Diceros bicornis minor: one gene and its partners. The protein of the gene in region 2 purifies or fractionates together with the protein of the main gene of each other region. This does not show direct contact. Links are inferred from orthologs where the notes say so. Each region holds a gene or a part of one and is shown on either strand. Other genes may lie near its edges.

Region 1 (7,572 bases), on a different chromosome or scaffold from region 2:
TTGTAACTATGGCAGGCACTATGCTGAACCAGACAGACATGGCCCCTGGCCTCCTGGAGTTTACCATCTAACTCGAGAGAGAGATTAAACAGAAAAAGCAATAACCAGATACATTTGTAAAAAGTGCAAGGAATAAAAAGTTCATCCATGAGTATCTACTCTTGAGGAAGTTACTTTTCTCTGGGCGTCTGTCTGTAAAATGGAGCTAATAAGATTGTTGTCACAAGGTGATGAGGAATACATGAGCTAATTCATGTATATAAGGTGTTCGGTGCGCAGCGCAGAGCTGGTCCTCTGTAAAGTGTGGTGCTATTCCTAGCTATAAATGAACTCTAGACACCAGCCCTGAGTTAGACGTGTTCATATGCATTATCTCTGGTCTCCATCATAACCATGGCCCTGTGGCTTCCTGAAAATGGAGAGGTGGCTCACCTATGTCTATGTTTCAGAGACCCTGGTGATCACTTAGGAGGACTGGGACAGTCGTGTCCTAGGAAACAGAAGAAATCGCTAAGGAAGGAAACCGCAGGAGCTCCTGGAGTCCAGAGCTGTGGTAGCAGAGTGGGAAGCAGTCAGACACACTCCTGTTCAAACCCAGGCTCCAGCACTAACCCTGACATTTGGCAAGTTCATTACCCTCTCTGAGCCCTAGTTTCCTCATCTCTAGAATGGGAATAGTAATACCCACCTCAGGGAGCCGTAGAGAGGATCTGATAGTACAAGTGAAAGGCCAATTTGGTGAAATCTTTTAGCTACTTTCTGAAACTATAGCAAAAATTTATTGACATAATGGAATTCGAGGTCTGCAGCTCTTCTCACTGCTCAAATATCCTATTTCAAACACCTCAAGTCTTTGCGAGTTCCCATATTAATGGAAAAAAATCCCCATTGACTGCCAAAGGGGAGTTTAGGGAATATTCAGTCATTCTGCTCTCCTTCAGGAAAGAACACCAAGGCCAGGTGGGCTCTGCCATACATCCATGTGCATCTAGATGGAGATTTCTACCCAGAGCTGCAGAATGCTCTGACAGCCCCCGTGTCTCTCGGCTCCATCCATTTCACAGTGCCATGCTGGAGTTGCACAGAAACAAGAAACATTGGAAGAGGTTTGTGGGCAAAATGGCAACCAGTTTTCATCGTGGGACCTATGCTTTTGGACTACAAATCGTATTTCAGAAAGTGCTGGAAGGAAATTTTGAGATCTATTTTTAAAATGGAAATGGAGGCTCAGGGAAGTTAAAGTGACTAACCCACATAATGGCAGAACCAGGAGCCCAGATCTCCTGCTTTGTGCAAGGAAGACTTAGAACATGTTCCAGTCAGCAAGCTCTGTACACTCTCTCGTCTCCTTGCCAAACTACCCAGTGTGTCTATCACCTCTCCCAAGAACTCACCCAGCACTCTGAGGGACGCGTCCCTCCTTTCTCTCTGCTGTGGATGTCAAGAGTCAGGTATACTGAATGAGGTGAGTCTGCAGGAGGGAGCTTCTTACTGCCATACAGTTTGGTAATGTGAGGACTGCCACCTTTCACTGGAAGGGGACACCACCTGCTTTCATTGCCTACCTGACTTATCAGCAAGGGAAGCAATGATACTGGGCCGGCCCTGTGGCTTAGCAGTTAAGTGCGCGCGCTCTGCTACTGGTGGCCGGGGTTCGGATCCCGGGTGCGCACTGACGCACCACTTCTCTGGCCATGCTGAGGCCGCATCCCACATACAGCAACTAGAAGCATGTGCAACTATGACATACAACTATCTACTGGGGCTTTGGGGGAAAAAAAAAAGGAGGAAGATTGGCAATAGATGTTAGCTCAGAGCTGGTCTTCCTCAGCAAAAAGAGGAGGATTAGCACGGATGTTAGCTCAGGGCTGATCTTCCTCACACACACACAAAAATAATAAATAAATAAATAAGCAACGATGCTGGTGACACCTTCCTTTTAAGCACTTTACAGTTTATAAAGAATATTCATATCCATCTTCCTATTTGTCTTTCCTCCCAGTTCTTTTTCTTTTTTTTTTTTTTGTGAGGAAGATCAGCCCTGTGCTAACATCTGCCAATCCTCCTCTTTTTTTTTTGCTGAGGAAGGGCCCTGGGCTAACATCCGTGCCCATCTTCCTCCACTTTATATGGGATGCCGCCACAGCATGGCTTATCAAGCAGTGCGTCAGTGCGCACCCAGGATCCAAACTGGTGAACCCCGGGCAGCCGCAGCGGAGCGTATGCACTTAACTGCTTGCGCCACTGGCCAGCCCCCCTCCCAATTCTGAGAAGGCATCTTGAGTAGGATTCATTTCCAGTTACTGAGGTTCAGAGATGAAAAGTGAATTGCCAACTTTCCAAAGAGGACTATTAAAAAAAAGTCAAACAACAATAGCATCTTTTCCTCATTTGGATATTTTTCTCCAAGAAACTCTGAGCATATTATCCCTTGACTTTTTTTTTCTCTAATGTCTGAAATGTTACCTCTTCAGGAAGGCCTTTCCTGCCCACCCAATACTCAGAGCAAACACATTGCACGCACTCTTACGTGATATTGTTTTAAGCCCTTTCCAAATATTAACTCCATTAGATCTCAGTACAAGCCTATAAGGTAAATATTATTATCTCCATATGAGGTAGGCACTATTATTATCTCCATATTGGAGCTGAGAAACTGGAGCACAGAGAGGATAAATAACTGCCAAAGTCACACAGTGAGTAACAGAGCCTGGACTTGAACTCTGGCCATCTGGTGCTCGAGTCTGCACACTTTTCCTCCACTATATTGCCAACCTAAAGTAGGCCTCTTCTACTCCATTTTTCTTGCACTACCCCTTCTTTCCCTTTTTAGCACTAACCACACTTTGAAATTAATGATTTGCTCATTTATATGTTTATTGTTTGTCTCCTCTATTAGACTGTAAGCCCCATGAAGGCAGGGATCATATCTGTCTCATTCACGTCATAGGTACGATATAACTATTTGTTGACTAAATAAAGAAATGTATGCTTGTGGGCATCATTCATTCTGCAACAAACTTTGAAAAATTAATTTTACTTTGAAACAATTTCATACTTACAAGACAGTTGCAAGAATAATACAAAGAACTTCACCCAGAGACCTCATTAAAGTTTAGCCAAATGTCCCCAAAATACACTTCAGAGCAAGAGGATCCAGTCCAGGGTCACTTGCACAAAAAATATTTATTGACCTCCTGCTCCTATTGGATTATATAACAGTCTCCTAACTGGTCTTTCAGATGCAACCATTGCTTCCTACAGTCTCATACAGCAGCCACAATGATCCTTTTAAAATGAGTTAGATCATGTTACTCCTCAGCTCAAACCCCTGCAATAACTCCCCATTGCATTAAAAGTAAAAATCAACGTTTTTTTCATCTCTCCTATTCCTCTCACCTTGCTCAACTACACTAATCTTCTTGCCATTTCCCGAAGATTCTAGACATGCTTCTATCTTAGGGCCTCTGCATCAGCTCTTCACTATAATTTCCCTGAAGTATCTGCATGGCTAACTCCCCCACCTCTTTGTTGGTTCCTAAAAATGCATCACCCCATCTCCCCTACCCTGATGGTTTTTTTTTCCCTTGCACTTATCACTAATATGCTATACAGTTATTTATTATATTTATTGTTTATGTTCTGTCTCCTCTACTAAAATGTAGCTACGAGTTGAGGATAGGGATCTTTGTCTGTTTTGTTTACTGAATATCCCAAGCGCCTACAACTGTACTTGGCACATAGTCGGTGTTCAATAAACAGCTGTTGAATGAATGAACGTAAAGGTATACTAAGTGCCAGGTCCTGTTCTAAGCGCTAGAGGTACAACAAAATCTCCTCGTCCTCCTGGGACTCACACTGAAGTATATTTAAACCAGACAGACCTATGTTCCAATCTCGGCTCCCTGCCTGTTCCCTGTGAGATTTAGGGAATGTTACTTAACCTCTCTGAGCCTTGCTTTCCTATCAATCGTTATGAGGATTAAACGGAAAGCCAGCATTTGTATAGCATTTAGCATAAGAAATGCTTTAATATTTGTTTCCCTTCCTTCCAGGCTGGAAGACTGGTAGCCTGACATCTCTGCCACAGGTTTATGCAAGGTTTTCACAAAACCTTGAAAAGGTGCAAACAGGTTATAATGGCCAGGCTTACACAACTTTTAACTGAAGATGTTCTGGTGAGAGAATGCTTAATAGGGTCAGAGTGAGAAACCAGGGAATGGCTAGGGTCACCTACTTCGCCGTTTTGCGTTGGAAAAGCCTCGCTGGGTGCCCAGAGGTGAAAGTCTGCAAGAAAGAAAGGGGAGGAAAAGAGGAGTAGCTGGCCACTACTGAAAACTACAAATCCCAGCACTCCCCACGGCAGACAACTACGGGTCCCAGCAGGTTTCACTGTCTGGAACGAGGCGGCCTCTAGGGGCGTGCAGCCTGGGTTCAGCGGGAGAAGGTGTGGGGCGGACCGAGGCAGCGGGGAGAATCCGGTCAAGCTTTACGCCGTTGCGCAGACGCCTCTCACGGGCCGGACGTGACGTAGGGAGAGTTCCGGCTTCGGCCTCCGCCGCTGCCGCCGCTACTACAGCAGCCGACGCTGCTTCCGTCGGGGCTTGTTATTTCTAAAATGGCGCCCCTAGACTTGGACAAGTATGTGGAGATCGCGCGGCTGTGCAAGTACCTGCCGGAGAACGACCTGAAGGTGAGCCTGGCCGGGGCAGGAGCGCTGCTTGCGGTGCTCGCCCCTTCCGGCAGCGGGGCACCCGCCGGCCCGCCCTTCCTCCCTCCGCGGGACCCCCGCCGGCATCCCGTCCCGTCCGGTCCCGGTGGAGGGCCTGTCGCGGGGCGAGGCCGCCCGGTGCGACTCGGCGTCGCGCGGAGAGCGGGGGAGCCCGAGTCCCCCGAGTGCTGTCCCCGTTCCCTCAGCGGGGATCCCGCGGGATGCAGCGGTCTGTGCCCCAGCCTTGCCCCTCTTGGTCTCCGGGCAGCCCCTGGGCTCCGAGCCCTAACAGCTTTGCTTAGAAGGCTCCTCTCCCCTAACCCCTTACCCGGGCTCCGGGAGTCTGAGCCGAGCCCCAGCGGGCAATGCCTTCGGGATGGGGTCATCCCCCAGAGGTGGTGACAGGAGCCCGGGTGGCCGGCGTCTGACAGGAGATGCCGCCGGCTCCCGGAACGCGGCCCCCGTGTGTGTAGGTTTTTGGGGAGTGGGACGAGGGTGGGCCAGAGCTGTTGGGTAGAGATGTGAGAACGTCCAGTCGTTCCTCTTTCCGTCCGTCTTCTCCCAGTTGCTCTTTAGGAGTGTTGGTTTGCGTCTGCTAATGCAGATGGGAATCCCGTTTTGGAGTCCCTTGTTGAGCTAACTTAAGTGGATAAAGTAGTAGGCCCTCAATAAATACAAATACTTTTCTGTTCCCCCGTAAATTTCTGAGTGTAATTTAGTAAAGGAATGTCAGTCTTTGGTTTACTGCTCTTTTGACAAGTGTTTTTCTGCGTTTGTTAAAACCAGTGCTTAGGTGTCGAGCAGTGTTGAGCCAAGTGCTAGTGTCTGTTTTATTCGTTCAGTTAACTTTGATTTGCTGTGTGGTGAGTGGCTAAACTGTTGATAGTTTTGCGTTCTTTTTATTGTTTAGGCTGTGGGTTTAAAGTAATTTGTCTTTGTGAATTCTTCCTCTTAACGAAGATGTTACTGTTTTTTTTTTTTTTTTTTTGCTGTCTTTTTTGGTACAGGAAGTTGATATTTAACATCAGTCAACAAGTATGCAAAATGTTTAAGGCCACAGGAGCTGTTGTGAATGTAACTTACTTGTACTCACTTGTTAATTATACGTGCTGTATGATAGGGGAGTCATTCTTGTGCATTTTCCCCTTTTTGGTAGGATAATTTAGTTAAAATGAAGACAGAGCCAATATTAGTAGAAATGTAGCTTTCGTGCTCATCTGAATCCTTCAAACGTTAGTTTTGTGGCTTCTTTCTGCTATACGTTTTTTTAGGAAATGAGGGTACCACCACCATTGGCACCCAGTTCATGGAAAACTAACCAGACATTTTTTGGTAGCACTGTTAATCGCGTAGGTGAAGTTGGTTTTTGCATGTCAGTGAATTGATGTTGAATTTTCTGTTCTTTCATGTATGTAAAGCTGTTTAAGCTTTGTGTTTATAATGAGTAAAATGTTGCTTATTGCTTTAGGCTTCTTAGTTTGATAAACATTAGATTTCCTTCCCACCTTAAGGAAATATAGTTATTAAACCATTTCATTTCCCTTTGCAACACAGTTGGACTGTACTTAGCATGTATCTGTTTCTTTTTTTTTTTTAAAGATTTTATTTATTTATTTTTCCCCCAAAGCCCCAGTAGATAGTTGTATGTCATAGTTGCACATCCTTCTAGTTGCTGTATGTGGGACACGGCCTCAGCATGGCCGGAGGAGCGGTGCGTTGGTGCGCACCCGGGATCCGAACCCGGACCACCGGCAGCGGAGCGCGCGCACCTAACCACTAAGCCACGGGGCCGGCCCAGCATGTATCTGTTTCTTAATAAATTTTTTTTTGTTAATTTTCTGGACAAATGGGAAAAAAAAGAATTCTGACTTTTTCTCTATAAGTAGAGGCTTTTCTTCTTTGTCTTGGAAATGTTTTTATCAGATTAATTTGCTTGCACTGCTCATTTCTGGTATATTTAAAGAAATTTAATTTTGTTGCTACTTCTTGGCATAAAGTACAGACTAAATTTAGGCAGACCAAGAAAGTATTCCAGGAGCACCTTTCTGGAGGTTTTAAAGCCAAAATAAAAGATTCTATCAGAGGAGGAAAAGAAGTCATTGGGGCTACTTAATGGTCATTATGGAAAAGATTTGTTCTGGTAGAAGAAAGAAATTCACCTGTGTTTTAAATTGACTAGAAGAAGTTGCGAGTACTAAATAAAATAATAAATGTGTAGGATGTTCTAGGTCTAATCAGGATTTCTCTATATTTAAGTTGGAATTGGTCAGATCACTAGTACTGGATCGAATCTACATAACTGGAAGGAATAAGGGTGAAATTTGTGAGAGTAGACCAAAGCGTAACCTTCTTTTCTTAAAAAAGAGCTCATGTGATTCTCATCCACAATAAAGATTTCAGAGCAGATCATGGAAGATACAGATTCCATATCTGGCCAAGTGGAAGAATGAATGATAGAAAACAGGTTTACAGAATACTTAAACTTCAGTATGTTGGCAGGAGAGGGCTTCTGTAATTTGGCGATTGTCTGATCTCTTGGGCAGTTCTTAAAGGTTGAATGTAAGTAAAGTTGCGCACTGAGTTGGTGTTCAGTTTTTTTACTGAAGAACTGAAGACAGTTGTGGTATGGGTTGGGAGAATACTAGTGTCTGTCTCAGAGATGCAACACAAGGAATTATGTAATTCCATAGTAACCACTTATGGATTAATAGTTAATGTCGTCTTTTTGGAACTCACTTTTATGTTTAGTCTGAGCCACCTCTGAGTTTTTCATATAAGGCTACCTGCTCTGCAAAGTTATACCTGTCTGAAATGCCTCCCTAAAGCTTCAAAGAATTCTCCCTTGCTTTTTTTTGAGATTT
Region 2 (7,799 bases):
CGACCCTGCCTGGCCCTCTCGGCTCTGACGCCGGTGCGCCCTCCTCACCGCAGAGGAAGAGCGGCAGGAAGCGGCAGCCGGGCGGGTTCAGGGCCCCCGAGCGCAGCGGCGGCGCGGAGCTGCGGCTCCTCTCGCCCTGCTCCCGCCCGGCGGCCGGGTAGGCTAGACTGAAGCCGCGACCGCTGCTCCTGGAGCTCCAAGTACCCGCACGTCACGCCGTTGCCATGGCTCGGGACGGGGAGAGGGAGAAGGAAGGGGACCACGCGGCCTGTCGGGAGATGTAGTTTCACACCTCTGGCGAGAAAGGGCGCTAGAGTGTGTCTCAGAAGCTGCAGAGATGGCCCGGTGGAGCGAGGTCGCCAGGCAAACTACTGTACTTGGCGAGTCTGTGGTCACGGACCTGATGCATAAGCACAGAGGCGACTTCGCGGGCATGTCAACAGCAGATATCTGATCTTTTTTTTTCTAAGTTTTCCATGAGTTTTTATTCAAAATCACAACCTCCCCCCCCCTTTTTTTTTTTTGCTGAGGAAGATTCTCCCTGAACTACCATCTGCTGCCAATTTTCCTCTTTTTGTGTGAGCCGCCACCACAGCATGGCCACTGACAGACGGGTGGTGTAGGTTCCCGCCCGGAAACCGGGCCCAGGCGCCAAAGCAGAGCACACAGAAGTTAACCACTAGGCTTCCAGGGCTGGCCCCTCTGCTGATCTCCTGAACGTCTCTCTCACAGCCTTTATTATATTGTCCCTTGTTTATAGCAGTTAGAAGTTCTATTCATCTTTGTAGCCTCCATAGTGCCTACTGCTGTGCTTTATTTACATCTTTGCAAAAGGAAATTAACTTTCCAAGTTCTGGACTAAGACTTCGCACAATTTTCTCTTTTAATACTTGTAGAAAGAAGTCAGGGTGGGAAGAACCAGACTTACTTTTAGGGGAGAACCATCTTTGTCTGGAATAGTGTGGACTTGATGAAGATTGAGACCTCAAGGGCAGGAACCGGGGCAACGAAATGTCGATATAGGGCCGCTTCTCCCGCCATGCTGAGGCCGCATCCCACATACAGCAACTAGAAGGATGTGCAGCTATGACATACAATTATCTACTGGGGCTTTGGGGGAAAAATAAATAAATAAAATTATATATAAAAAAAGAAATGTCGATATACTGCTTTGCATCATGATAAAAGGAGAAAAAAATCGCTCCTGATAAAAGCAGAGAGAACAAAAGAAAAAAAGAGAGGAGAGAGAAATCAGCAATTAGAGAGAGACTGGATCTAGGTGGGTACAAGAGCCATTGAAATTCTCCGACGGTGGAGTAGAGGAAGGACATTTGAAGAATGGTGGTGCCTGCTGTTGCATTTAAAGATGTTTATGCTATTGCAGTGCAAGCCCCTCCTCTACTTTCTTTCTAAGTCTTTAGTCAAGCTCTCCACATGCAGGAAAGCTTTGTCTGTGTAGTGTTGTGTGGGTGACTGGTGGGTGGGATAAAATAATTAAAGACTGTGTTGCCTTTTAATAGGTGTGGAAGAGAGACATCTTGCCCAGAAACAGGGGCCTGGAAACAGATATAAATCCTCTAACTCCCATTGCTCCTTAAGATTGCCATTAATTTTGAGACTTCCACTGGATATGGATTGATTTAAAGTTCGAGCCCATTTTATCTGGATTTCAAGGAGCGGGAGCCTTCCCTTGAACTCTGGTTTACATTTAACATTTTGTAAGGAAGGCATTTTTATCGTTATTTATTTTTTGGTGAGGAAGATTCGCCCTGTGCTACCATCTGTGCCCATCTTCCTCTATTTTATATGTGGGATGCCACCACAGCATGGCTTGATGTGCGGTGCATAGGTCTGCACCCTTGGATCCGAACCCATGAACCCCGAGCTGCCAAAGCAGAGCATGCGAACTTAACCACTGTGCCACTGGGCCAGCCCTATCCTTATTTATATTCATAATGTATATACAAGAAGCCCCAAATTGGGGAATGATCTCACTTCTTTTTTTCTCCTAACATTTCTTTTTCCCTCAGCACCCTCACCCCCACCCCCAGGATACAGTATCTCCTTCCAGTTCAAAGATGATAATCTGGAGCCACTCTCAGATGGGCATGTGACCTTGAGGGACAGATTCACTCTTCCCAGCCCTACTCTCCTGTCTGGCCCCACTCTCTCTGACTAAGGGCTCACACATGGGAGACAGCCATTTAGAGTGAGGAGTAAGGATCTTGCTGGATAAAAGACAGAAATTAACTGGGATGCATGACTGTACCGTGACCTCATTAACGCTATTCCTTAACCGAGTTAACTGCTGCAGAATCCCCAAGGTACAATAGGCCTGCCAAGCCAATTTGCTTGTTGTCCCCCTACTAATTAGATTAGCTAATTACTGCCATTTAAACTTTTCCTAGTGCATTCCCTGTACTTGAAACAACCAATTTCCTGCCATTTCCCTGTCATTCTACATCAATAACTTCCTTTAAGTAGTGACTCAAAACGCACCTCCTCCAGGAAGACCCTCTTGACTGAACCCATCCCTCAACATTACTCTGAACACATAATGCCAGGTAAAGTAGCATGTATCCTATATTCTCTAGTTGTTTCATAAGTATACATATGTTCTTCTATTAAGTTATAAGCGCCACAAAAATAGACACCATTACTCCTAAGTTTCTACCTCCAAACCAGTTAGTATATGGCTGTACACAATGGTGAGTCTTCAATCAACATTTCTTAGAAGAATGAAAACTGAGGCTTAAAGACAGGCAGGCATCTGCCTAGAGTTACCCGGATATGAAGTCAGTAGTCAAATCCAGAAGGACTGTCTGCATAAGAGGGCTTTGCCACCACTTCAGGCCTCCTCCTCCCCCACCCTGTGCATCTCCCTGAGCCCTGGAAGTATCTGTGTTATGTATATCATATCCCTTTTTTTCCAACTGGGAAATCCTCTTTCTGTGCTCTGAGTAATATTAAAAATAACTCATCTAGCCCTTCCTTCTTCGTCCAGCTGTCCAGAGAACCCAGCTGGCAACCTCCCTTGTTCACCTCCACTCCCACACCAGAACCAGGCACGTGACCCCAGCTCAACCTCTGACTCCAATTCCTCAGGTTACCAAGAGCTATTTCAGGCAATGGAAGCCACGTAGTCCCCTCCTCCCCATCCTCTGGGTCATATCCTAGCTTAGCCCTTCCTGAAAGATCCATCATATCCAATAGCCAAATCAACATGTCCCAACACCCATAGCCATCTGATCCCCAGCTACCTTTAGTTTCTACTTCTTCAACCTCATCTTCGTCATCATCATCAAATATTAAGTTCCTGTTCTTAGAGCTACAAAGAATAATTTAATATATACTCTTGCCTTCAAAGAGCTCAAAATCATTTTTACATAGAAAAGAACCCCAAAACAATGTACAATCCTGTGCTGGAAGACTCTGGCTAACAAGGAGTTTAAAATCCATTCTGAGGGCTGGCCTGGTGGTGAAGCGGTTAAGTGCACGCCTTCCACTTCGGAGGCCCGGGGTTTGCAGGTTCAGATCCCAGGCACGGACCGGATGCACCGCATATCAAGCCATGCTGTGGCAGCATTCCATATAAAGTAGAGGAAGATGGGCACGGATGTTAGCTCAGGGCCAATCTTCCTCAGCAAAAAGGGGAGGATTGGCAACAGATGTCAGCTCAGGGCTAATCTTCCTTACACACACACACACACAAATCCATTCTGAAATGTTGGACAAGGGAATGTCAAAGATGTAAGGTGGAATGAGCAACAAAGGTGTGCAGTTTAAACCTGACTGTGTCCGACAGTGTAAACTGAGTATTACATACACTATTACATTAACACTTACAGTGTTAAGGAGACCTAACAAAAGGGAAAGAACCTGTTAACCAGGGAAGACTTCCTAGAAGAGGTAAGTTTTAAGTAATATTGTAAATTTTATTTTCAATGTGATAAAAATTCAAAAAGTTATTAAAGGTATATAGTGACAGGTAAATTTCCCTCTCACTCCTCATTCCCTGTCCCCTAGTTTCTCTCTCCAGGAAAAAGCACTGGTACCAGTGTCTTGTGTATCTTTCCAGTGGGAATAAAGATATTGAAGGCAATGAGAGGCATAGATTGTTGGAGAACAAGGAAGGGCTTTTATACCTATGCCTTGACAGGGGGCCGACATGCTACACTTCTTCCTAAATGTGTTCCTTTCTTAGAACACATATATTGAGTTACTGAGCTCTGAACAGGACCCTGAATCACCTTCTATAAATTGTACCAATTTGTCAATATCCTCTTTTCTTCCTCCTTCTTTTTGCCTTTCTGGCCTGGGATGGCCTCCATCCGGATCTTGCCTGATTGGCTGCTCTCTGGCCTCTTCAATGGAGGAGGGGAAGCACCCTCACCCTTTTCTGAGACGAAGGCATTGAGCCTTTTAAAATGTAGCCACCTTACCACCTTAACCTGGCAATGGAGTAGAGAGTCGAAAAGCGCCTCTTCTGTTGACCTTGGAGACCTTCTCCAAGCTGCCAGCTGTCCTAGCCTCTTTGTGGGGGTTTTCTGCTGCTGGAGAATCTTTCTTGGGATTTCTCTCTGCAGTTTGAGCACTTTTGCTATTTCCTTTTTACCCAACTCATGTCACCGCCAGTAGAGATACGCGCCTTCCCTCCCTCTGGGGCTTTGCCATATATACTCCGCGGATCTCCACGCCCCTGCTTCCCCCGGTCTGGGAGGGATTTGGGGTGTGTAATCGCTGACGGGAGGAGTCAGCTCCGGCCGAGGCACTGTGGGCTGGGTGCCATCTGGCCAGCCGTTTGGTCCGCAGGTTGGGAGGCACCGTAGGGTCAAGGCCCGAGTTGCCGCTAGGGTCTTGTGGGGAGCCCCCGGGCCGCCAGACTGGAGCGGAGAGCCCAGTGCGGCCAGCCTGGGCACCAGGGAACCAGCGCGCGCGGTGCGGGCACCGGGGCGGCTCGGGCCGCCAGGGCGGGGCGGAGGGCGCTGCAGCCCCGGGCCATCTGCGCGGCGAGCGCCCTGCGGCCGGGCCCAGGACGGCCGCCAGGGAGCGCTGCGGGCTCCCGCTCGCCCGCCCCCCGGTAGGCGGGGCCGCGCTCTCCCCGCAGCCGCCGCCGCAGCCGCCGCCTGGGCCGCCCCGTGTCCCCGGTGGAGCCACCGCCGCCGCCGCCGGGAGCTCGATGCGGACAGAGCCCGGGCCGGGCCATGGGGATCCTCAGCATCACGGACCAGGTCAGCCCTCTTGCCCCCGCCCGCTTCCTCCTTCCAAGGCCCGGCGCCGCCGCCACGCGAGCCCGGGGATGTGCGGCCTAGGCTGGGCCCGAGCCCGGGGCTCCCGCGGCTCCCGCCCCGCCCCACGCCGTGCTCCCCTCAACCGAGCCGGCGTCCTTGGGGGCCTGGCGACCGGCGGAGACACCGCAGGAGCCCCCTGCAGCCAGGACCCCAGAGCAGAGCCTCTCCAGCGACGCCCCCCTCAAACCTGGTGTCCCCGCCAACCCCCCGGTTCCGCTCCGGCCCGCTCCCTGAACGCCGGTTCTCCCTGCAGCCGCCCCTGGTCCAGGCCATCTTTAGCCGAGATGTGGAGGAAGTGCGCTCCCTCCTCTCGCAGAAGGAGAACATCAATGTGCTGGTGAGTTAGGATCAGGGAGGATGACGAGCCGGTAATCTGGGCCCTGGTGTTCTGGACCCCTCCCCACCAGTGGGGCGGCTCCGTGTCTCCTCGGCTCGGATGAGGCCGCAGCTCTTTCCACCCTGGGATGGGCGCCTGCTCTGCATTTGGGGATGGAGGCTTGGAGCACAGACCAGTAAGGCTGAGGATGCCCAGAAACGGTGTTGTCTTCTGAACCATCAGTGTCTGCAGCGCCCCCACCGCTCCTGGAAGAAGGAGACTGGTTCGCGGGCCCAGGGGCCTGACTCCCTGACTCCACCCTCCTTAGGTGCTTGCTTTGACCTAGGATTGGGATTTAGGAGGCTGCAGAACCTGTGGGAAGAGGTCGTGGGGAAAGGCCTGGAGCTCTAAGGCTTGGGCTGGGGTTCTTGATACTTCACCCCCACAGCCGCTCCTCCTTTCTGCCTTCCCAGGACCAAGAGAGGCGAACCCCACTGCATGCTGCTGCCTACGTAGGCGATGTCCCCATCCTCCAGTTGCTACTGATGTCAGGTGAAAGTGGGGAGCTGAAAGGTGTGGCACCTAGGGAGGGGACCTGAGGGAGGAGCCTTTTTTTTTTTTCATACCCCAGGATTGTTCTCTGGTGCTTGGTCCAGGTGAGCCTCCATCTCCACCCAGATTCCCTGGCCTGATTACTGGCTTCCTTCCCCACCTGCTTTCCACCTCCCACCAAAAGAGGAAATTATATCCCCACAGGTGCTAATGTCAATGCTAAGGACACACTGTGGCTGACCCCTCTTCATCGTGCTGCTGCCTCCCGAAATGAGGTACTGGCCTCCTACATCCTTTCAGCCTTCTAAAGAGGATGAGTTGGTTAAAGGTGGAGATTTAAGGGTTGGAGAGCCTCAGTCCTCTGCCCTACAAGCTGGTCTACCCCCAGGTCGGTAGGAGACCAGACCTTGTCCCCTCCCTCCTACCCCTAGAACTGGCTAGTAAGGGGGGCTGAGGGTTGCCAGCTGATGTGACGTCAGGGGAGAGCTTAACACTGGGCTGGCAGACTGCAGGGGGCCCTGCTGCCTGGCCTGAGTGACTCATCCCTCCCTGGGGGGCTACCTTGGAGTCTGATCCCCCTCTGGGCACTGAGATTCCTTTCCTTATGATGGGGTGATGGAGGGATGGAGTAGTGATCTGTTGCATCCCTGGCCCTCAAGCAGTGTGACAGTTGACAGCACGGGAATCAAGCATGCCTCATCAGTTGGGTCTATCAACTCTGAAGAGCGGGGAAAGGAGACCTTCCTCTTGGTTCCACAGTCACTTCTGTGGCTCCAGCCACCAGGGGGAGGGACTGAGGCCAGTGGGACTGGGGAGGGTGGTGACCAGGAGGAGCATTTTAGCCTGGGTTTTGGAGAAGAACCGGTATCTGTTTGCCTACCGAGGTAATGGAAATGATTTCGGTGCCTATGGAAGGGCTGAAAGAGGGGATTTGAGGCATTAATGTAGCAGGAGTGTTTGTTTTTCCTAGTAGTGAGGGATTGGGATCCTCTACATGTGGATTTGCTGGGTAGTGGCTGTATGTGTGGGTGAAGATTTTCAGGGTCTGGGTTGGGGAGTGATATCAGGTGGCTTGAGGAAGAGGAGGGATCCATGTTTTCCTAGCAAGGAAGGGACAATTTTAAGAAGATCCAGATCTTAGATCCAGAAGATGGGGAGTAGGTATTGAGAGGCTAGGCATGTTGGAAAAATGAGAGGAGACTCTGTGGTGGGGGGGTGGGGAGATGGGGCCACATGTGCCATGCTGGCCTACTCTTCCCACCGTTTCCTGTTGCCTCACCTCCTGCCTGCCCCCCCCCATCCTCTCTCTTATCTTCTGTCTCTTCACAGAAGGTGCTGGGATTGCTGCTGGCACATTCAGCAGATGTGAATGCCCGGGACAAGCTGTGGCAGACACCGTTGCATGTGGCTGCCGCCAACCGGGCCACCAAGTGTGCTGAGGCTCTGGCACCCCTGCTGAGCAGCCTCAATGTGGCTGACAGGAGTGGGCGCAGCGCCCTGCACCACGCAGTGCATAGTGGTCATCTAGAGGTGAGGACCGCTCCAGTCCACGCCCAGCCTCATGCCTCCTCTCTCCTTCCTGTCCTACTCACCTTCCCTGCTCCTGGGCCATCAGGCCTGGGGAGAGGCAGCCCAGATGA
Region 3 (7,046 bases), on a different chromosome or scaffold from region 2:
CCGGCTACAAACTCTCAGTTCACTCCAGCCTCACGTCCTGATGATCAACCCCACCTTCCCACTTAACGGAACTTGCTGGAAGCCCTGGGACTGGACAGGAGAGGCGGCTTTCGTTTTCACTCTCTAACAGCATAACCTGGGTCTGGCACTTGGCATCCGGGAGCCTCGTGTCCTCATCTGTGAAACGGGGGCACAGCCCACCGGGCAAGGCCGTGCTGTGAGAAGAAGCCGGGTTGAGGCAGGCGGTCCTGACACATCAGGGGCTTGGCAAGTGCTGGCCCCTTCCTGTCTGTCCCCGCGGCCACGCAGAAGCCTGGACACTTGCAGCAGGAGGGACGGAAACAGCCTCTACCCCAGGGGTGACGGCACTGAAAACAGAAGACTCCCCATTTGCCGGAGTGAGTCAGGTCATTCAAATACTCTGGCGGGCGCCACGCACCCCGCTGCCCCCACCCTTTGCAACTTTTAGCAAACTTCAAGAAAACGGAAGTGACTACCACTGGTTTTTAGCGACCGTTTGAAAACCATGACTCCGGCTGCAAACGGAAGAAGGGGAAACTGTAAATGAGAAAGGAAGCCATTAAAAAGAAAACTACCTCTCCCTGCGCCAGCTCTGCACCATCGCCTCGGGTTTCTTGCTTTGCTGTGTTGTGCTCAGGCCTCCGATACCAGCTGCCCCTCTCAGGATCCTGCCAGCCCCTGCCCCTGCCTGGGCTCAGACAGGGTCCGACTGAGGCTCCCGCAGGCCACCACCACTGTCACTGCTGCTACTGCTGCTGCCACCATCTGTCCAAACACAGCTCCGCCTGCCAGGGGGCCTGTGGGCTGATCCTTTATCTGCCACCCCTTCCTAGCCTGCCCTGTCCCTAAAGCACCCGGAAGTGAAGGTCAAGGGCGCAGAGGCCTCTGGGAGGGCCTCCGAGGCGGCCACCTGAGCTGCCCTGAGGCTCGGTAGACGCGCCAGCATTGGGAGAGGCCATCTCAGGCCTGCTGACTGCTGCCACCCTCAGCCATCACTGGCCCACAACAGCTCTAATGAGACATGGACTAGGCGAGCCCTAGGAGGGGAGGGAACCCACTACCCGCAGGCCAGCCCTCAGGCCCTTGCAGGGCAGGGTGGGTCAGAGGACAGCGAGACCACCCTCCTCTAACTTCCCCCAATCCACTGTCAGTTCTCGGCCAAATCTGGAAAGGGGGTGGGGGACTCCCGATTCCAAGAATGGGATGACGGTAATGGCGACCCCATAACCTCCGAGCAGGACCTGGTGTATGTGCCAGATGCGGAACCCAGCAAGGGAGGCAGCGGGACGCTCACTTGGGAGAAGGGGCCACTGAGGCCAAAGAGGGAGAGAGACCCAGCCAAGGCCACACAGGACCATGAGCTGGGACTTTCCCATGGCTCGGGAAAGCCTGAGGGGGTCCCCAGTGAGGGGATACCCTAGGCGCCACCCCCTCTGACCCCAGAGCACACCTCCCAGGGGAGGTGGCAGTCTGGTCCAACCCCAGGGGATGGAGTAATTAGGAAATAGGAGAGACTGGGGACAGCTGGCCAAGGACTGAGGAGGGGCCGAGAGCTCACATCAGGACCCTCTTCTGGATCGGTCACTGGTTCAAAGGAAAAAAAGGAAAAGAACAAGGCATAGATTTTGAAACAGCCCTTGGAAAACAGAGAGGAGCAGAGCAAGTGTTACAGAGTGATCCAGAGTCAGAAAGGCTGGGGGCCAACCTCGTCTCTCCAAACGTCAATCTCCGTGGCCTTCGAGCAGGGACCTAACCCACACAGCCTCAGTCTCCTCACCTGAGACACCTCACAGCTACTGTAAACCGGGGTTCAAAGGGAAAACCATGCTTGGCCCGGAAAGGAGGGCACGTCCCCACCCCCAGGGCCGAGCCTGCCTGAGAGCCGGGTGCAACAGGAAGGCTTCTCATTCTCTCCAAGGCTCCCCGGCCTCTCACCTCTTCTCCTGCTGCAACCCGCATGGCGCCCAACACTCCCGCCACACCTGACTGCTGGACGCGCCCTCGCCTCTGCCCTGGCTCAGCTGCTCCCTCTGCCTTCCCTCCAGCTCTCTGAGCCTCACTAGCTCCTCGTGGGTCCTTCAGGCTTCAGCGCAGACACCACTTCCTCCAGGAAGCCTCCCCTGACTGTGTTCAGGGCCTGCTCCACGCTTCCCTGGCTTCCGTGGTCACCCTACGACAGCACCTGACGGCTGTGTGACAGGCTCTGCCTGTTCAATCACCTGTCTCCCCCAGAAGATGCCAATTTCCCAGGACTCAGCACCAGGCCAGGCCCACAGCTAGAGGTACTTGTTGAATTAATGAAAACTGAAGTCCAGAGAGAGAAGGTGACCTGCTAAGGTCACTTGGCCAGAGATCGTGAAAAAAAGTTTTTTGGGGGGATGAGCAGGTTCTCCTCTAACAGAAACACACAAGATGACCCAACAAAAACACAAGAGTAAATCAAAACACACAACTCAGAATACACAGCTCCCCACGGATGACAACAGAGCAGATAATCCAAAAGTACAGATAATACCCAAGCGAGAGAGCAAGGCTTCTCCAGGCGGCACTAGTGACATTTGGGGCCGGGTCACCCTCTGCGGTAGGGGCCGTCCTGTGCACTGCAGGATGTGGAGCAGCATCCCTGGCCTCCACCCACCAGATGCCAGTAGCACCTCCCAGCTGTGACAACTGAAACTGTCTCCCGCCATTGCCAAAGGAACCCTGGGGGACACATGCACCCCCAGCTGAAAACGCACTGCAAGAGACCACCCCAAACCAAATAACAATCCTAGAAGCTACTGATCCTGGAGCACGTCCTGTGCCTTGCATTCTGCTACAGACTTCTGCCAACAGCGCATGGGTCCCCAGAGCCACCCTGTGCAGAGAGCAGCGATGTCGGTGCCACTTTACACCCCACTGAAGTTTCCTGACAACTCTGAACCCCGTACCACACCTGACAACACATCTTCCTTTCCAGAAACATCCTGCCTTTCTGGTTAACGGTAACATCTGCATCCTCAGCACAGACGTACAGGTGTGCAAAAGAGCAAGCAAGGAAGACCCTCACCAGAAGGTCACATTCAAGGGCCCGGACAGGCAGCCCCGGCAGGTGTCATGCCCCACTCCCTCGCGACACATCTGCACCCCAGCGCACAGACCTTCACGTATTTGCACGTGCTGTTCCTTCCACCCGGAAGGCCCTTCTTCCCACTCTCCATCTGTCAACTCCTACTCATCCTTCCTAGACAGAAAAAGCCACCCGCTGAGCCAGTCTCACCAGTCCCTCGGCTGTGGCCTCCTGTGGCGCCCTGAGTTACCTCTATCACAACACCAGTAATTGTGACTGTCCCTCTGCCTCTGTCTCCCCAGGACACGGCAGAGGCAGGTCCCCCTCCCTCACACCCAGCAGCAGGCTCCCTGCCCTGCCCTCAGCAGGCTCATCTCACAGAAGTGGGATCGAATGGCGGCTGTTCCAGAGGGCTGGCTCTCAAGGTCCCCCTCACAAGAGGCCAGAAACACAGGGTGGGGGAGCCACGGTCAAGGGAAGGGGAAGGCCCACTATCCAGTCGTCCTGACCAAGAGTGCGAGTCCCCAAGAAGCTGGGGTCTAGACAGCCGGCGACAGAGAAAGAGGGGCAAGGGGGTGTCCAAGGGGAAGGGGCTGAGGAGAAAAAGAGGAGGCTGTCTGAGAGGGAGTGGCCAGGGGAGAAAAGAGTGGGGTTGAGTCCCAAGGTGGGGAAAATGGAGGTGCGGGGGTCAAAGGGAGAAGACTGGGGAACGTTGGCTGGGTGGGTGGAGGCCTAGGGGCAGAGGCTAGGAGATTTGGGGGGCCGAGGAGCAGAGACTAAGAGACCTGGGGGGCCGAGGGGCAGAGACTAAGAGACCTGGGGGCTCGAGGAGCAGAAACTAAGAAACGTGACGGGCCGAAGGGCAGAGACTAGAAGACTTGGGGGGCCGAGGGGCAGAGACTAAGAGACCTGGGGGGCCGAGGGGCAGAGACTGAGAGACTTGGGGGGCTGAGGGGAGAGACTAGAAGACTTAGGGGCGGAGGAGGAAGAGACTGGAGGAGGGAAATGCCCAAGAAGTAATGAAGGGCCCAAAGGAGAAAGGGCTGAGCAGATTCGGGGGTACCTAAGCGGGGCGCAGGAGGGCGGGCGGAGCGGGGACTGAGGATGCCTGGACGGGCGGAGGGTCCCGGGCGGCCGGCTCACCTGCGCGGGGGGGCGGCGGCTCCTCGCACTCGGGGCTCATCGGGGCGCCCCCCCCGCCCCGCCGCCGGCGGCTCCGGCCCCTGCTCCGAGGCCCGGTATGTGGGGGCGGGGGGCCGCGGCGGAGACTCGCGCAGGCGGCCGGGCCGGGGCTCGCGCACGCGCCCTCGGGGCTAGGGGGGCCCTCGCAAGCCGAGTTCCAGGTGTCGGGGGTCGGCGCCGGCTGGGACGGGGGTGGGTCCGGGGCCGCCGGCGAGGTGGGCGCGAGCCGCGACTGGGGGCCGGAGGAGGCTAGCAGGGTCGCGAGGCCCGCGCAGGCCCTCAGCGGGGAAGTCGCCGCGGTTTTCCCGGCCCGGCCCAGCGCCCGCAGGAAAGCAAACGCCGGTCGGGGAAGACGTCGTCCTCCGCAGTCCGAACAGGCCGCAATGCTGAGCAGCGGCCGACGGAAGTCGAGGCGCACTTCCTCCACCTCCCCTTCCCCAAACCGGCGAGGTCTCCGGGCTTTCCAGTCCTCTTCAGGGCCTCCGACGCCCGTCTCCGTCCGCCACTATCCCACAATCCCCCTAGCGCAGGGGCACGCAGGAGGCCCCGCCCTCTCGCCGCCGTCTCGGTGTGCAAGCGCCCGGAGGCCGCGCGCCCGGATCCTGCAGTGCGCGTGCGCGCTGGGCACAGCCGCTCTAGACGCCGCCCAGCCAGAACATCTCCGTTGCAGATGCGCTTGCGCCAGTTTGCTCCAACCATTTCTCCCCGAATAAACCCAGACAGCTCAATGCGCAGGCGCTGCTGCACACCCGGTGGCATTTCTCTTGCGACTCCGTTCCAAAGTCCAGAGAAAATCCTGCTCCAGGATTTCTCTTCCCACTCGCTCCTTTTAGAAATCCATGCGCTCTTCTGTCTCCTCCAATCATATTCCTGCTGTGGCTCCAGGGTCGAGCTCCTGGGGAATCCATCCCGGGTTTTCTCTCCAGCCAAGGCTAAGCGCTTCTGTCTCGCCCGGTTTTCTCTCGACGCCTTCTCTGTGCTTCAAGGGGACTTCAGTCCCACCTCTAGGTTGCCCAGGCCGTGTCTTTACTGTTGCCAGTGTCCTCTAACAAAGCATCCTCTAACAACATCGACTGGAAGGATCCTCCTAGACCTTGTATCACTATGCATTAAGGTCTCATCTTTTTCTGAGCCTCACTTTCCCCAACTTGCACCAGGTTACAGGCCCACTGTAAGGATAAGTTGAGTAAATGTGTGTAAGGACTCAACTTTTACTTTTTTTTTAACCTGCAGATTTACCTTTTTCATTTCAGGGACATTTTATTGAATCATGTGTTTGAGTACATTTTCAGGTTCTGGTTGGTTGTCCTCTGTTTCAAGGAAGCCAATTATGCATTTGTCCTTCACATCTGTTAGCTTCTAATTGCTCTCATCTTTGTCATTTCCACCTGCATTCACTGGTTACCACGTCAATAATTTCATTTTTCAGCCGTGTCTCTCCTGGTCCTTGCTATTTCCAGTGTATTTGTTACATATGATGGTTTTTGGTCCTTGTGTCCGTTAGCTACTGCTTTGTGACAAACAACCACAGCCTCGGTGGCATGTATCATGTTCATGGTTTGGAATTGCAGGTGTGAAGGTCAGCAAGGCTGTTCCCACTCCTCACGTCTCTCATAATCTGGAACCAGTGGGCTCCCGAGGGCACCATCTCATAAGGGAAGGCAGAAGCACAAGAGATCAAGCCCAACTGTTAGCACATTTCAAGTCACAGGTCACCTCTCATCTGCCACCATCATTGGTAGAAGCAAGTCACATGGTCAAGCCCCAAGTCATGGGGCAGGCACCTGCACTCCACCCGCCATGGGGTGGGAAAGTGTACTTTTCTCATGAAGCTGGAATGGAAGAGAATGAATATTTGCTGAACCATCTAATTTGGCACAGTCCTCAATTTGTTTCCTTAGATTTGCCAATCTTACCTTTTCCTCTTTGAGGTCTTGTTTTAAAATGGACCTCGGTTCCTGTTGTTGTACAGCTTGAAGCAATTGTGAGGCATTTCCTTCTGTTCCTTGAGTCATCTTTTCTCCTACATCTTTTGTCTTTTACCCAGCATTTGGCTTGCTGTTTTTCCAGTCTGATTGTTGCCACACTGTTTTAACACGTATCCTCAGGAACTGGGGGGCGGGGGGCAGGGGCTGTGTGTGTGGCCATATTCAACCACCAAATGGAACCTGAGTAGCTGATGAAGTCAGTCTGCAAGAACCTGGGAAGCGGCAGGGGTTTTAAGGGCTGAAGGCTGGGTCTCCAGCCTGTCAGAACTCACAGGTAGACAATGCTGTTGTTTGTCTTAGAATTGAAGGGGCCTCTTCAAGTGTATAGTGGGAACGCTCATTCCCCCACTGTTCACATTTCCATATGGAGGAATATCTATTGCGTACTGTCTCTCTCCTGGCCTCTCCAACCCTTCCAGGGGCAGAGGAATGATTCACCGGATTGGATGGGCATCATGGCTCAGCCTTCCAGCTCTCCCTCCTCTTGGAGCCAGCCTGCCCAGTGTCTGGCCTGCTCCCTGCACCCAAGGGGACACCTTTGCTTGCCCACTGCTGCCTGCCACCAGGCGAGCAAGCACGTCTAACGCCAGGGTGAAGTAGCAGCAAGACTAAAGCCACTTTCTGTGATTGGCTCTAATAGTAATAAAGGTAATATTTGATCTCCAATTCTCGGATCCTGTAGCTACCTTTCGATTTATTCTGAATTTGGGAAGAGGGGTGAAAATAATTTGTCCCTCCAAAATCCGAAGAGTACAAGTAAATTCCACACGAGAGGAATTAGTCTGGCATCAAATGGGGCTAGTAAC

What was found.
Region 1: the proteins of ANKRD52 (region 2) and PPP6C purify together in Homo sapiens (affinity purification with mass spectrometry; 6 studies listed by BioGRID and IntAct, with this or other methods). This does not show direct contact. The link is inferred for Diceros bicornis minor from reciprocal best matches to the Homo sapiens genes ANKRD52 and PPP6C.
Region 3: the proteins of ANKRD52 (region 2) and PPP6R1 purify together in Homo sapiens (co-immunoprecipitation; 3 studies listed by BioGRID and IntAct, with this or other methods). This does not show direct contact. The link is inferred for Diceros bicornis minor from reciprocal best matches to the Homo sapiens genes ANKRD52 and PPP6R1.

Annotation. Positions count from the first base shown.
Region 1 is NC_080767.1:33,595,879-33,603,450, reverse strand, and holds the start of PPP6C (serine/threonine-protein phosphatase 6 catalytic subunit), read left to right. Parts: upstream 1-4,500; 5' UTR 4,501-4,618; coding exon 4,619-4,693; intron 4,694-7,572.
Region 2 is NC_080756.1:12,520,875-12,528,673, forward strand, and holds the start of ANKRD52 (serine/threonine-protein phosphatase 6 regulatory ankyrin repeat subunit C), read left to right. Parts: upstream 1-4,764; 5' UTR 4,765-5,204; coding exon 5,205-5,231; intron 5,232-5,544; coding exon 5,545-5,628; intron 5,629-6,080; coding exon 6,081-6,159; intron 6,160-6,363; coding exon 6,364-6,434; intron 6,435-7,488; coding exon 7,489-7,689; intron 7,690-7,799. UniProt on the Homo sapiens protein: Putative regulatory subunit of protein phosphatase 6 (PP6) that may be involved in the recognition of phosphoprotein substrates.
Region 3 is NC_080773.1:33,275,722-33,282,767, forward strand, and holds the start of PPP6R1 (serine/threonine-protein phosphatase 6 regulatory subunit 1), read right to left. Parts: upstream 3,073-7,046; 5' UTR 1,981-3,072; coding exon 1,957-1,980; intron 1,382-1,956; exon of another isoform or gene 597-1,381; intron 1-596. UniProt on the Homo sapiens protein: Regulatory subunit of protein phosphatase 6 (PP6). May function as a scaffolding PP6 subunit. Involved in the PP6-mediated dephosphorylation of NFKBIE opposing its degradation in response to TNF-alpha.